3 linked regions of the Danio rerio genome follow. The protein of the gene in region 1 interacts with the protein of each later gene in a pairwise test. Links are inferred from orthologs where the notes say so. Each region holds a gene or a part of one and is shown in the gene's direction. Other genes may lie near its edges.

Region 1 (4,137 bases):
TATTATTTTTTTGCATAAGAAAAGTGTCTATGTTTACACTATGTTAAGTACACAAAGCATTACAGTCAAATAGAAAGAAAGATCATTTTATTAAAAAGTAACAAAAATAAAGTGCAATTTCAACTATTTTATTCGTGGTTTTTCCAGTTCACCAGCTCTCAAATCAGTGGGTCCACAAGTGCTAATGAGATCATTAGTAAAAGACATTCCTAAAAACGAGGTGTTAATGGTGGGCTTTTTCTGATGGCTACACCTCAAAACATAGGTGGCCCTATACATCTTGTTAAAAGAATATGGTTAATATTTGTTGGTTTAGCTTACTTTATAACATCATAAGTATTTGAATGTTATCAAATTTCATTTTAAACAAACACGTTAGCAAATAGTGGATTCTTAAACGGTAAAAGTGTAAAGAGCTGTTTATTTGTGGCTCAGAAATGGGGATTTAGCCTATGAAAACAATAAAAAGTGTAATAAAACAGTTGTACAAGTAAATAAATACATCTCTCAGAATGTGATATATTTAATCCAAAAAAATATTTACCTTATTTTACAAAAGACATCTTGTACGCATATATATTTAGAACATTTTGTGGCTTTTTATGACCAAAGCAAGTGTGAACCAAGACAACTTTTGACAAGACTACATAGTTATTCATTTAGACTATGTGCTAACCTCCTTAATATTAACTCATACTGTGGTTTTGGTAGACAATTTGAATGGACTGATAGTTTGAAACATATTGTCAGGACTCTATAATGAGTGAACATGTATAGAGAAATGAAAGGGTTTGAGATAAACATGCATTAGAAACAGAAACACATTTTCAGTTTAAAACAAAATATAGTTCACAAAAAAAATTTATAGATATCCACAAACATTTATACAAGTATGTGGCAAAAAACGAATTAACGTGCAACAAAATACAATCAGATACTCTGAAATTAGAAACCAATACATTGGCTAATTGTATTGAGTTGAGAACGATGCCTAACTGCACGTTATCTTTCGCTAACGTGTTTTCTACTTATGCTTTATGAAAGTTAGACTGTTTAATATTTATGCTGATAATCGTGCAAGTGCTACATTTGCAATTCACATAAGGAGTGAATGTTCGCGCATCACCTGTCTCGCCGGAACGACAAATCCCCTGAAGTTCCTTACGGACAAGATACATTGTAACAAGCAACAGTGCGGTTGCAACGCGAATCGCTTCATTGTAATATTAATGTAAATATCTATGGTATCATTATACACATGTATTCTTTTGTCATGTCGTTATAACTGGAAGTCCGCGTAAACCTACTGTATATACACGTATATAAGGAAGGAAAGAATGAATGAAGAAAGCGCTTCGTCTGAATATAAAGTGATCACCCCGTCCGGAAACCAATGTGTTTACACCAGCTGTTACTGGTAAATGCGATAATACCTGTAACATTATTTCAAATTTAAAACGTACCGTATTCATACACGTATTTAAATGTTTGTTGCAGTGAGGAGAATGTGTGGAAATTGTGTGAATATATCAAGAATCAGAGACATTGTCCTTTGGAAGAGGTGTATGCAGTATTTATATCTAATGAAAGAAAGAAGGTGAGCTTCATCTCCACACAAGTATTTTACATTTAATGAAATGTACAGTTTTCTGTTATATACATACATACACACACACACACACACACACACACACACACATACATATATATATATATATATATATATATATGTATATATATATATATATATATATATATATATACATATATACACACACACACACACACACACACACGTATACAGTCACCGGTCACTTTATTAGGTACAGCTTTCCAACTGCTGCTCAACGCAAAAATAAGCCAATCACATGGCAGCAACTCAATGCATTTAGGCATGTAGACATGGTCAAGACGATCAGCTGCAGTTCAAACCAAGCATAAGAATGGGAAAGAAAGGTGATTCCAGTAACTTTGAACCTCGAACCTTGAGGAGATGGGCTACAGCAGCAGAAGACCACATGGGTGCCACTCTTGTCAGCAAAGACCAGGAAACTGAGGCTACATTTCACACTGGCTCACCAAAATTGAACAATAGAAGATTGGAAAAGCGTTGTCTGGTCTGATAAGTCTCAATTTCTGCTGCAACATTCGGATGGTAGGGTAAGAATTTAGCGTCAGCAACATGAAAGCATGAATCCATCCTGCCTTGTATCAACGGTTCAGGTGGTGGTAGTGTAATGGCATGGGGGGTATTTTCTTGGCACACATTGGGCCCATTAGTACCAATTAAGCATTGTGTCAACGCCACAGCCTACCTGAGTATTGTTGCTGGCCATGTCCATGCCTTTATGACCAGTGTACCCATCTTCTGATGGCTACTTCCAGCAGGATAACGCACCATGTCATAAAACGCAAATCATCTCAGACTGGTTTGTAAAACATGACATGAAGTTCTGTAATCAAATGACTTCCACAGTCACCGGCTCTCAATTCAGTAGAGCACCTTTGGGATGTGGTGGAATGAGAGAATCGCATCACGGATGTGCAGCCAACAAATCCACAGCAACTGTGTAATGCTATCATGTGAATATGAACCAAAATCTCTTGAGGAATATTTCCAGTACCTTGTTGAATCTATGCCACAAAGGATTAAGGCAGTTCTAAAGACAAAAGAGGGTCCAACCCGGTACTAGTAAGGTGTGCCAAACAAAAGGGGCCAATGAGTGTATATATAGTATGTATGTGTGTTAAAAATTGTGTAATATTTCAGATACCTATTTGGAAACAAAAGTCCAGTCGAGGGGATGAACCAGTAATTTGGGTAGGAACTTTATATGTATAAAAACTATGCATATTTTATGGTAGTCTCTAATTGATATAAAAATGTTGTTTTCCATTTAGGATTACCATGTTATTCTTCTACACGCAAGTAAACAAGGACCGAGCTTCATTTACGATTTAGACACCATTCTTCCATTTCCTTGTTCGCTTGACGTTTATTCAATGGAGGCCTTTCAGTCTGACAAGCATTTGAAACCTGCTTACTGGAGGCAAGTATTATCTGGTCTAATCTGCATTCTACAAAAGATGAAATAACATAAGTGTAACAAGTACTTAATAAATTTATAAAAGAAAAGCACATCATAAAATGTGAGGACAAAATTGAATGAAGATTTTAATATGAATTAGTATTTTGAGGCTGCATTGTTATCCATTTAGTATGGCCTCACATTATTCTTGTTTTAAATATAACTTAGTATTTTAAACTACTGTTACACTTAACTACATTTTAGAGGTCATCTTATGTAAATTGTGGTGATGGACAATAGTCAATTAATTTACTTTTGCATTAAATAATATTATTTTTATATATATATTTTTTAACAAATGCTTAAACTCCTTTATGTCTTTGACCCTTATAATAATAATAGCCAGTCTTAGTTGAATGTAATCAAAGTGTTGTTTGCTCTTTTAGGAAACTTCGAGTCATACCCGGGGACACTTATTTGAAGGAGTTTGCTTCTGATCGGTCTCATATGAAGGACTCCGATGGGAATTGGCGTATGCCACCTCCAGCATATCCATGTTTAGAGACACCAGGTTTGTTTTCTATTGCAGATTTATATACAGTAAATACTATAATTTGATTTCTTCTTCCACTTTCATGTATAACGTGTCCTTTTCAGAATCCAAAATGAATCTTGATGACTTCATCTGCATGGATCCCCGAGTGGGATATGGAGAGGTTTACAGCCTTTCAGACTTTGTTAAACACTTTGGAGTAAAGTAATGCTTTTTTTCCAGCACATTTTTTGTTGTTGTTGTTGAAAAATGTACATAAACAGAGCCTCAGGGAAAGATCCTATTATGATGGAGAATGCTGCAACTAAGCAGGCCTCAAAAGACACATTTATTGACTCTGAAATTATTTTTACTAATTGAACAGTTGGCAATGTGGCTTAATTATAGTCAGGTAGAAAGGTCACAGAAAAGAAAGCCATTGTTGTCATTTGTCGAGGATGTGTATTATTTTTATAAAGAAATCAGTTACACAGATGTACAGATAATAAAAATGCAGAATTTAAACAAACAACCAAACCGAAATGCGAAACTGTGTAAGCAGTTGTAGTGCTGTAG
Region 2 (3,959 bases), on another chromosome or scaffold:
ATCTAATTTTTTTTTGCGGCCCCCCTAGCGCCATCTGGCGGCCCCCAGTTTGAAAACCCCTGTTCTATAGAATTGAGATCAGGGCTTTGAGATGGCCACTCCAAAACATTCGCTCTGCCCGCACTTACACTGCACTATTCAAGTGACTCAATTCCATTTTGTTTCTCTCATGTGGCACAGATCGGATATGGCCCATGTACGTGTAAGCATACCTAAAAGTTTAAAAAGCCTATATGTAAAAAGAAGATGGACAAATGAGAACATTTCTGTCATAAACTATAGTAAAACAGACTGTCAAAAGCTGCAAAGAGATTACATACAGGATAGAGAAAAGAGCAATCTTTAATTATCAGCTATAGTCAGCGCCCGCTTTTTTTTCCTGGTCATTGCGCCTTTGTTGTGTGCTCAGTGTGTATATGCAGACGATCGGATATGAGTTACTTTTAAATATGATGTAAGCAGGTCATCAAAAAAATCGGATACAGTCACAAAATCGGAATTGGCCATCAAGATATGCAGTGTAAATGCAGCCACTGTATATGTGTGTGTGTGTGTGTGTGTGTGCGTGTGTGTGTGTGTTGGGGGGGGGGGGGGGGGGGGGGGGGGGCTATATATGTACACACACACACACACACACGCTTTAACTGCCCCCCAAAAAAAGAAAAAAAACTGGATGACACTGGATGGGTTTGATATGTCGGTTTATGGTAAAAGTACCGGAATTAATAAATGTACTCTGAAAAATCTGAAAATATGAAGTGTAAGACCAATTTATTTTTAAAATATATAAAAAATAAAGCATTCTGAATACTAAATCATCTTTATCAAGTATGCCATAAAATATTTCAGATTCACAATTAACATGTTTTTAACAGTAAAATCAAAATCAAGTGTAGTAGTGCAACAGGATTGAGTTTGTTTGATTTGTTTGTACAACTCTGTGTGTAAACCATTAATAAAAAGTCATTTTTAAAATGACTTTAACAGTCATTTTTAAAACAGTCAAAAAATGGTCAACCATTTGTTATAGCAGGCATTTAAAGGGTTCAGCTATAGGTAACTATAAATAAATGATATGCGTGCTCCACTCAATCGTGATTTTCAGATGACAACTGGGCGTTCCGCGCGTGTAAAAGAGGCAGGGGTGAGGAAATATGGCGTTATCTATGGCGTAAATGATCTACGTAATTTCCTTTAGTGTGGGAGAGATATAGTTGAGCTCTGTGTTCCCACATCAAATTAACCGCAAAGACAGAAAAGTGCGTGAGAAAGTTGTCAGGTAGTTTGAAGGTTCTCGTGTAAGGTCAGACTTCTTCCAGACTAGCACGCGCACAGGTGAGGTGCTGTAAACAACGGTGCGGTTCACAACTTCACCTCCATCCATCCAGCAGTCTCGTAAAGGTGATCAACGATCTTCTCCTATGTGTGAAACAATCGTTATGAACATGACGAGCTTGAAGGCGTTCACCGAGCCGTTTGGTAAGTAAATACGCTTGGTGTTTACTAAGTCATGAGGGAAAATGTGCTTCACACGCGTGGCAAATGTCGGACACTTGTTTTGTCCTGGCTCAGTGTTCTTTGTTACTTTGTTTTAGTGTCTTTAAGGGGTACACGGGGAAGGGGAAGCGTGTCAACAGGTTAAAATTACATTTGAAAGAACGATAAGGTCTTTACAAGCACATAAGATCCATCGTTATGTAGCCTAAATCTGTACGCAGAAGAATATAAAGTGTGTGTAAATATGTATGTATGTATAAGTATGCATGTTTTATATATATATATATATATATATATATATATATATATATATATATATATATATATATATATATATATATATATATATATAAGTTTGCAGTTGTTTGGTTTGACCTTCATTTGTTCATGGATGCTGCTTTTACATCTGTTTCTATTTTATTTCTCTTCATCAAGTTACTAAAACGTGGTGTTTCATTTGTAGAGGTCATTTGTATTTGTTCATTTGTAGAGGTGACCAGGTTTCTCCTGCAGTACTTGTGTATTGCTTCTGTTAGTTTATGGGTGGCCATGCAGAAGAAGATCTGCGCAGAGGGTTTTGCCCTGCAGGGTTATATTATGATGTGGTTTACATTTTATCTCTTCAAGTGCATCCCGAGCATGCAGCTACATGCTCTCTGCATTCCCTGGCTTAGCAGAAACAGTCATGAATGGATTCAGGCTGCACAGGTTTGGATTCGTCTGCAGTACTTACTGGGCACGTGTAGATTGATCTGTCCATCTCTCTACTGTACTGCTGTGAACATGCTGAATTATGATTGAGTAAAAGATATGGAACAGATATCAATCTACAACAAATGACATTGTTTATTTTGTTACTATTGATTATATTTATGTTTATGGAGTGGGGCAGAAGAAGTGAAAATAAATTTCCACAGTCAGATAACATCAGCTAAAGGTGTTGCATACTCTTTCCGCTCGTGTTGCTGCTCATACTCTCAGCAGTCACCATAACTGCAGTGGAATGAGTGCTCTTCAACATCCTGTTTCAGTTGTTGGGATTTCCTAGAAAATACCCTGCATTTCATACTCCTTTTGATTTGACAAGGACTGTTTTAAGAAACTAAAAATAACCTCATAATTCTTCAGAATTGTGCCTGTGTTTTTGTAAAATAGTGATGGTGGTCAATAACTCACACATGCAAACATTTTTTGTAAGAGCTGAGGATAAGCTGTCTGGTGTGGGTGAATCTGGGGTTATAACCAGACCTATATCAGTTTTTCCCCTTCTGGAAACCTCAGGAAACTGGTGTCTGAGGTTGCCTTTTGACTGCACTTTGCGAAAGACTCAGCAGAAGGTTTTTTTGTTTTGTTTTGTTGTTGTTAATTTGCAGTGCTGTAAAAGCAACAATTTGTTATTTTCTTAGAATGTTTAGAACTGTTTTTTTTCTTAGTTTAAACACTGTTTAGTACTCTGAAGGATTTTTAATTGCTATAAAGCCTGCTGTGGAATATTTTATATAAATATAATATTAAGCTTTTTGTGGAACATAACGATTCTATAAATTAAGGGTTTTAGAACCAGTAAATCATTTTTATTATATATATATATATATATATATATATATATATATATATATATATATATATATATAAAAAACTGCTTTTCAATTTATTGGAGTTTTATTAGTTGGCATGGGCTAGTATATAAGATTCTGATGTTTTAATAACCTTGGATAAAAATTTCACGGTGTGATAATTGCTTTAAAATATATTCTTTTTAAATGTCTGGGTAAAAAACAAAAACTTTTCCCCATTGAACACATATTTTATGTTGAGTAATATTTAAAATATTTTGGAAGAATAAACATGTCAGGCTGAATAATTCAAATGAATCATTGACTTTGCAGTCTTCATTAGATTAAAAACACACACATCTATCTATCTATCTATCTATCTATCTATCTATCTATCTATCTATCTATCTATCTATCTATCTATCTATCTATCTATCTATCTATGTATCTATTTATGTATCTATGTATGTATGTATGTATGTATGTATGTGTATGTATATATATATATATATATGTGTGTGTGTGTATATATATATATATATATATATATATATATATATATATATATATATATATATATATATATATATATATATAGACCATAAAAACTCTCTCTCTGTTTAATCATAATGTACTCATTTATTAAAAAGCCTTGATCTGTGACAGATAGAGTTGATTTTAAGTGTTATAGTAATTGGCCTAATAAGAATATTAGCTCTACATGCTAATGCTGATGATGAATTATTTCCACTGTTTGAGTCACATGTTCCACTGACAGTTGCTGTACAGTGTAGGATTAGTTTTCTGTTGTCAAACAAACTTCTGCAGTGCTAATTCTAACTCTGCATTGATTGGGCATCATGGAACAGTCACAATTTTTAAATTGGACATCAGCATTCTCTTTGT
Region 3 (3,973 bases), on another chromosome or scaffold:
TTTACAGACAATAAATAACCGTTAATAAAACTTAATACTTAATTAATAAATAAAAAAACTGCAATTTTAGCCATTTATTTGTTTGTTATAGATGTTTACTGACGTTTATTTATGGTTATCTATGTCAAAGATGACAGTTTCCACATCTCGTGCTGCCCTGAGTGTACAGTCTGGGATACAGCTTCAGATACTCGCGTAAATATAGCATTTCATGAGTGTGAATGAGTGTGTATGGGTGTTTCCCAGTACTGGGTTGCAGCTGGACGGGCATCAGCTGTGTAAAACATGCTGGATACGTTGGTGGGTTTCTTTCTTCTGTTAAACACAAAATAACATCGCTGAACTCCTGTTTAACCATTGTGTTTCATAGTATTTTTTCTCTACTATCGAAGTCAATGGTTTAAATTTTCTCTTCTAAATAACTTATTTTAAGTAAGGTTTAGGCTGAACTGCGCCTTTAATAAAATAATAATCAAATCAAATGTAAATACAATTAAAAGAAATTATAAAAATATTAGAACTAAAAGAAACAATTAATAAAATAACACAGTTCATTCATAATTTTTTACAGTTAATAAATAAAAAAAAGTAATTTTTGTCATTTATTTAATTGTTTTAGTTGTTTACTGGCGTTTATTTATGGTTATTTATGTCAAAGAGGACATAGTGCTGCCCTGAGGGTACAGTCTTGGATACAGCTGCAGATACTCACATTAATACAGCATATCATGAGTGTGTATGGGTGTTTCCCAGTACTGGGTTGCAGCTGGAAGGGCATCCGCTGTGTGAAACATATGCTGGATAAGTTTGCGGTTCATTCCACTGTGGCCACCCCTGATGAAAAAAGGGACAAAGCCGAAGGAAAAGGGTAGATGTTGAAAAAGTAATAATGGGTAATTTAATAATAAACAATATGAAAAATACTCGATATAGCCTAACTGATTTTACATTACTGTGATGGTTGGGTTTATGGTTAAGGTATAGACGTTAGTAAAATACAATTAATGGGTAATTTAATAAATAATATAAATAAATAATCCTCTTTAACTTGCGTTCGCAGCTGTATCTCCTCTAGCAGCAACCGCTGCTGAGGCTGCATCAAATCTGCATCCTTATTTGGGTCACGCGGGGTTTTACGGTAGTCTACAAGAAGCACACTAGCTTCGCGTTATAATACCCGCCTCCTTCAACCTAGAGCCTCACATCTGGAGTCATTCCTGCAGGAGTTTGATCCTTCTGACTTGCACTTTTTTTGTAAAGTAGTTTTGTTCATCTCTGTCGCAGTCATGCCGATGTTTGTAGTGAACACAAATGTTGCTAAAGACTCGGTTCCGGCGGAGCTGCTGTCGGAGGCCACGCAGGAGCTCGCCAAAGCCATGGGCAAACCCCAGCAGGTTAGTTACCTACTTTATTTTACTTATTGCCGTATTTTATCGTATGACTTTGCATATTAGTTTAGATGGGATAGAAAACTGTAAGCACTGTTACGAGTTTCAAAACATACACGCTAGCGCAAGTTATCCTCTTAGCTGCAGCTTGAGGTCGACTCGGATTTTCGTTCTTAATTAAATTTAATCTTAAATTAAATATAGACAGATTATGCGTAATAATTAGTCTTGATTTAAGATGCTCAAGTGATTAGAAGGCAAACTAATTTCCGTGAATCAGTTCGATTAACCGAAAGAACCAGTTCAAAAAACGATTCATTGATTCTTTTACGTCATGACGCATTTGCGTTATCTCATTACACAGCACCACGTGCTTGTGTATTTCACTGATTTACTAGAACGTCATGTTGAACTTACTAATTATTCATTCATTTTCATTCAACTTAGTCCCCTTATTCATCAGCCACAGTGGAATGAACCACTTCCACCACCACACCATATCCAGCTTATGTTTTACACAGCGAATCCCCTTCCAGCTGCAACCCAGTACTGGGAAAGACCTATACACACTAATTCACACACACACATGCATTACGGCCAATTAAAATTTTTCAATTTACCTTTGGCACATGTGTTTTACTGTGGAGGAAACCGGAGCACCCAGAGGAAACCCATGCAAACACGGGGAGAACATGCAAACTCCTCACACAAATGCCAACTGGCCCAGTCGGTACTCGAACCAGCGACCTTCTTGCTGTGATGCCACAGTGCTAACTACTGAGCCACTGTGCTGCCTAACATCTAAAATTGTGTTATTTTAATTGCACTGTATTATAAAGTACTGAGCTGTAGTGTTTCTCTGTGTTTGTCTGTGTGACAGTACATCGCCGTACAGGTTGTGCCGGATCAGATGATGATGTTCGGGGGAAAAGGAGACCCGTGTGCGCTCTGCTCGCTCACCAGCATCGGGAAGATCAGCGGCGCGCAGAATAAACAATACTCCAAACTCCTCATGGGTTTACTCAACAAACACCTCGGCGTTTCTGCTGACAGGTACATTCACACTGATGGCCATTTTATTATGCACACATTTTAGCGTACAGTTGTGCGTACAGTTGCAGAATTATTAGCATTATTATAATTATTATTATTTTTTTTATAAAAAAATGTCCCCAATTTCTGTTTAATGGAGAGATTTTTTTTTTACAACACATTTCTAAACAAAACAGTTTTAATATCTCATTTCTTATAGCTTATTTATTTTATCTTTGCCATGATGACAGTAAGATACTAGTATTCAGCTTAAAGTGACATTTAGGGCCCTATCATACACCCGGCGCAGTGTGGCGCAAGGCGTGGCGCATTAGTCTTTTGGTAGTTTCAGCTTGGCGCAAGAGTCGTTTTGAGGCGTTGCGCTACGCTGTTTAAATAGCAAATGCATTAGCGCTCATTTGTGCGCTCATAGGCGTTCTGGTCTAAAAAGGAGGCGTTCTGAGTCGGACCGCTGGCGCGTTGCTATTTTGAGAATCTATAATAGATTTTTCATTAGACTAAAACTAACCCGGTCTAAACTCCGGCGCAGAGTTGCGCCTCGCTTACACACTGCTTAATAGCCTACACACAAGAGAGCAATAGGCAAATATTTTTACATGTGAAAAAATGTAAATATTAAGGATATATATAGGATATAATAATAATAGATATAGGATATAAATATAAAGGATTAAAATATTACAAAACATATTATTTTCTAGCCTACATAAATATGAAAAATCACTGCTTTTATGCCTTCTTCATCTCCGGAGGCTTTTTCAGTTCATTCATAACAATTTGCTTCTGTATAATGTTATTATTATTACCAGTATTATTTATTATATCCATATTTATATTTGTTTTATTATATGGGGCACAGCATGTGTTTTAGGATATAACTCAGGTTTTTGAGCACATTTTGCTATTATTGTTCATTTATTCGTTTGCTGGAAATTAGAACTGAATTTAGAAACAGTTTTGAAACAAATCTTTGCGCTTAACAAACAAAATTATTTATTTATAGACTAATTGATGTCTGTGCGTAAAGGTTTCCCTATTCAAGAGCGAATGTGAAAGTAGATCCATTATCTCTCATTCTCACGCAGTAGATGCTCTGTTTAACAGTTTTCTGTTAATAAACTGTTAACTGTGAACTGTTTGCTTGTGAAATGATCATTTTTTCCACTTAGACTTACTTTGCGTCCTGTAAATAGCGAATGCGCTCTTGGCGCGACGCAGCTGGCTCTTAAAGGGAATGGGAGATGAGACTCTGATTGGTTTATTCTCAAAACACACCTATAACTCATTAAGAAAATAAACTCAACCCTTTTAGACCATGCGCCGCGGGGCAGGGCAGATTTCCCGTCCTTAAATTAGCAAAAACGCGTCCTGACATGCCCTGAAAGCATTTGCGCCCTGCGTTTTGCGCTCTGCGCATGGACCGTCAAAATAGAGCCCTTAAAGACTTAACTGGGTTAATCAGGCAGGTTAGAGTAATTAGGCAAGTCATTGTATAACAGTGGTTTGTTCTGTAGACTATTAAATAAAATATT

What was found.
Region 2: the proteins of ntaq1 (region 1) and edaradd interact in binary tests that used the Homo sapiens proteins (3 or more experiments, as listed by UniProt). The two-hybrid records come from large-scale screens. The link is inferred for Danio rerio from reciprocal best matches to the Homo sapiens genes NTAQ1 and EDARADD.
Region 3: the proteins of ntaq1 (region 1) and mif interact in binary tests that used the Homo sapiens proteins (3 or more experiments, as listed by UniProt). The two-hybrid records come from large-scale screens. The link is inferred for Danio rerio from reciprocal best matches to the Homo sapiens genes NTAQ1 and MIF.

What each region holds. Positions count from the first base shown.
Region 1 is NC_133194.1:37,454,580-37,458,716, forward strand, and holds ntaq1 (protein N-terminal glutamine amidohydrolase), read left to right. Parts: upstream 1-1,337; coding exon 1,338-1,417; intron 1,418-1,497; coding exon 1,498-1,597; intron 1,598-2,770; coding exon 2,771-2,821; intron 2,822-2,901; coding exon 2,902-3,050; intron 3,051-3,475; coding exon 3,476-3,600; intron 3,601-3,686; coding exon 3,687-3,790; 3' UTR 3,791-3,806; downstream 3,807-4,137. UniProt on the Homo sapiens protein: Mediates the side-chain deamidation of N-terminal glutamine residues to glutamate, an important step in N-end rule pathway of protein degradation.
Region 2 is NC_133192.1:23,889,695-23,893,653, forward strand, and holds the start of edaradd (ectodysplasin-A receptor-associated adapter protein), read left to right. Parts: upstream 1-1,159; 5' UTR 1,160-1,421; coding exon 1,422-1,479; intron 1,480-3,959. UniProt on the Homo sapiens protein: Adapter protein that interacts with EDAR DEATH domain and couples the receptor to EDA signaling pathway during morphogenesis of ectodermal organs. Mediates the activation of NF-kappa-B.
Region 3 is NC_133189.1:53,749,592-53,753,564, forward strand, and holds the start of mif (macrophage migration inhibitory factor), read left to right. Parts: upstream 1-1,173; 5' UTR 1,174-1,286; coding exon 1,287-1,394; intron 1,395-2,268; coding exon 2,269-2,441; intron 2,442-3,973.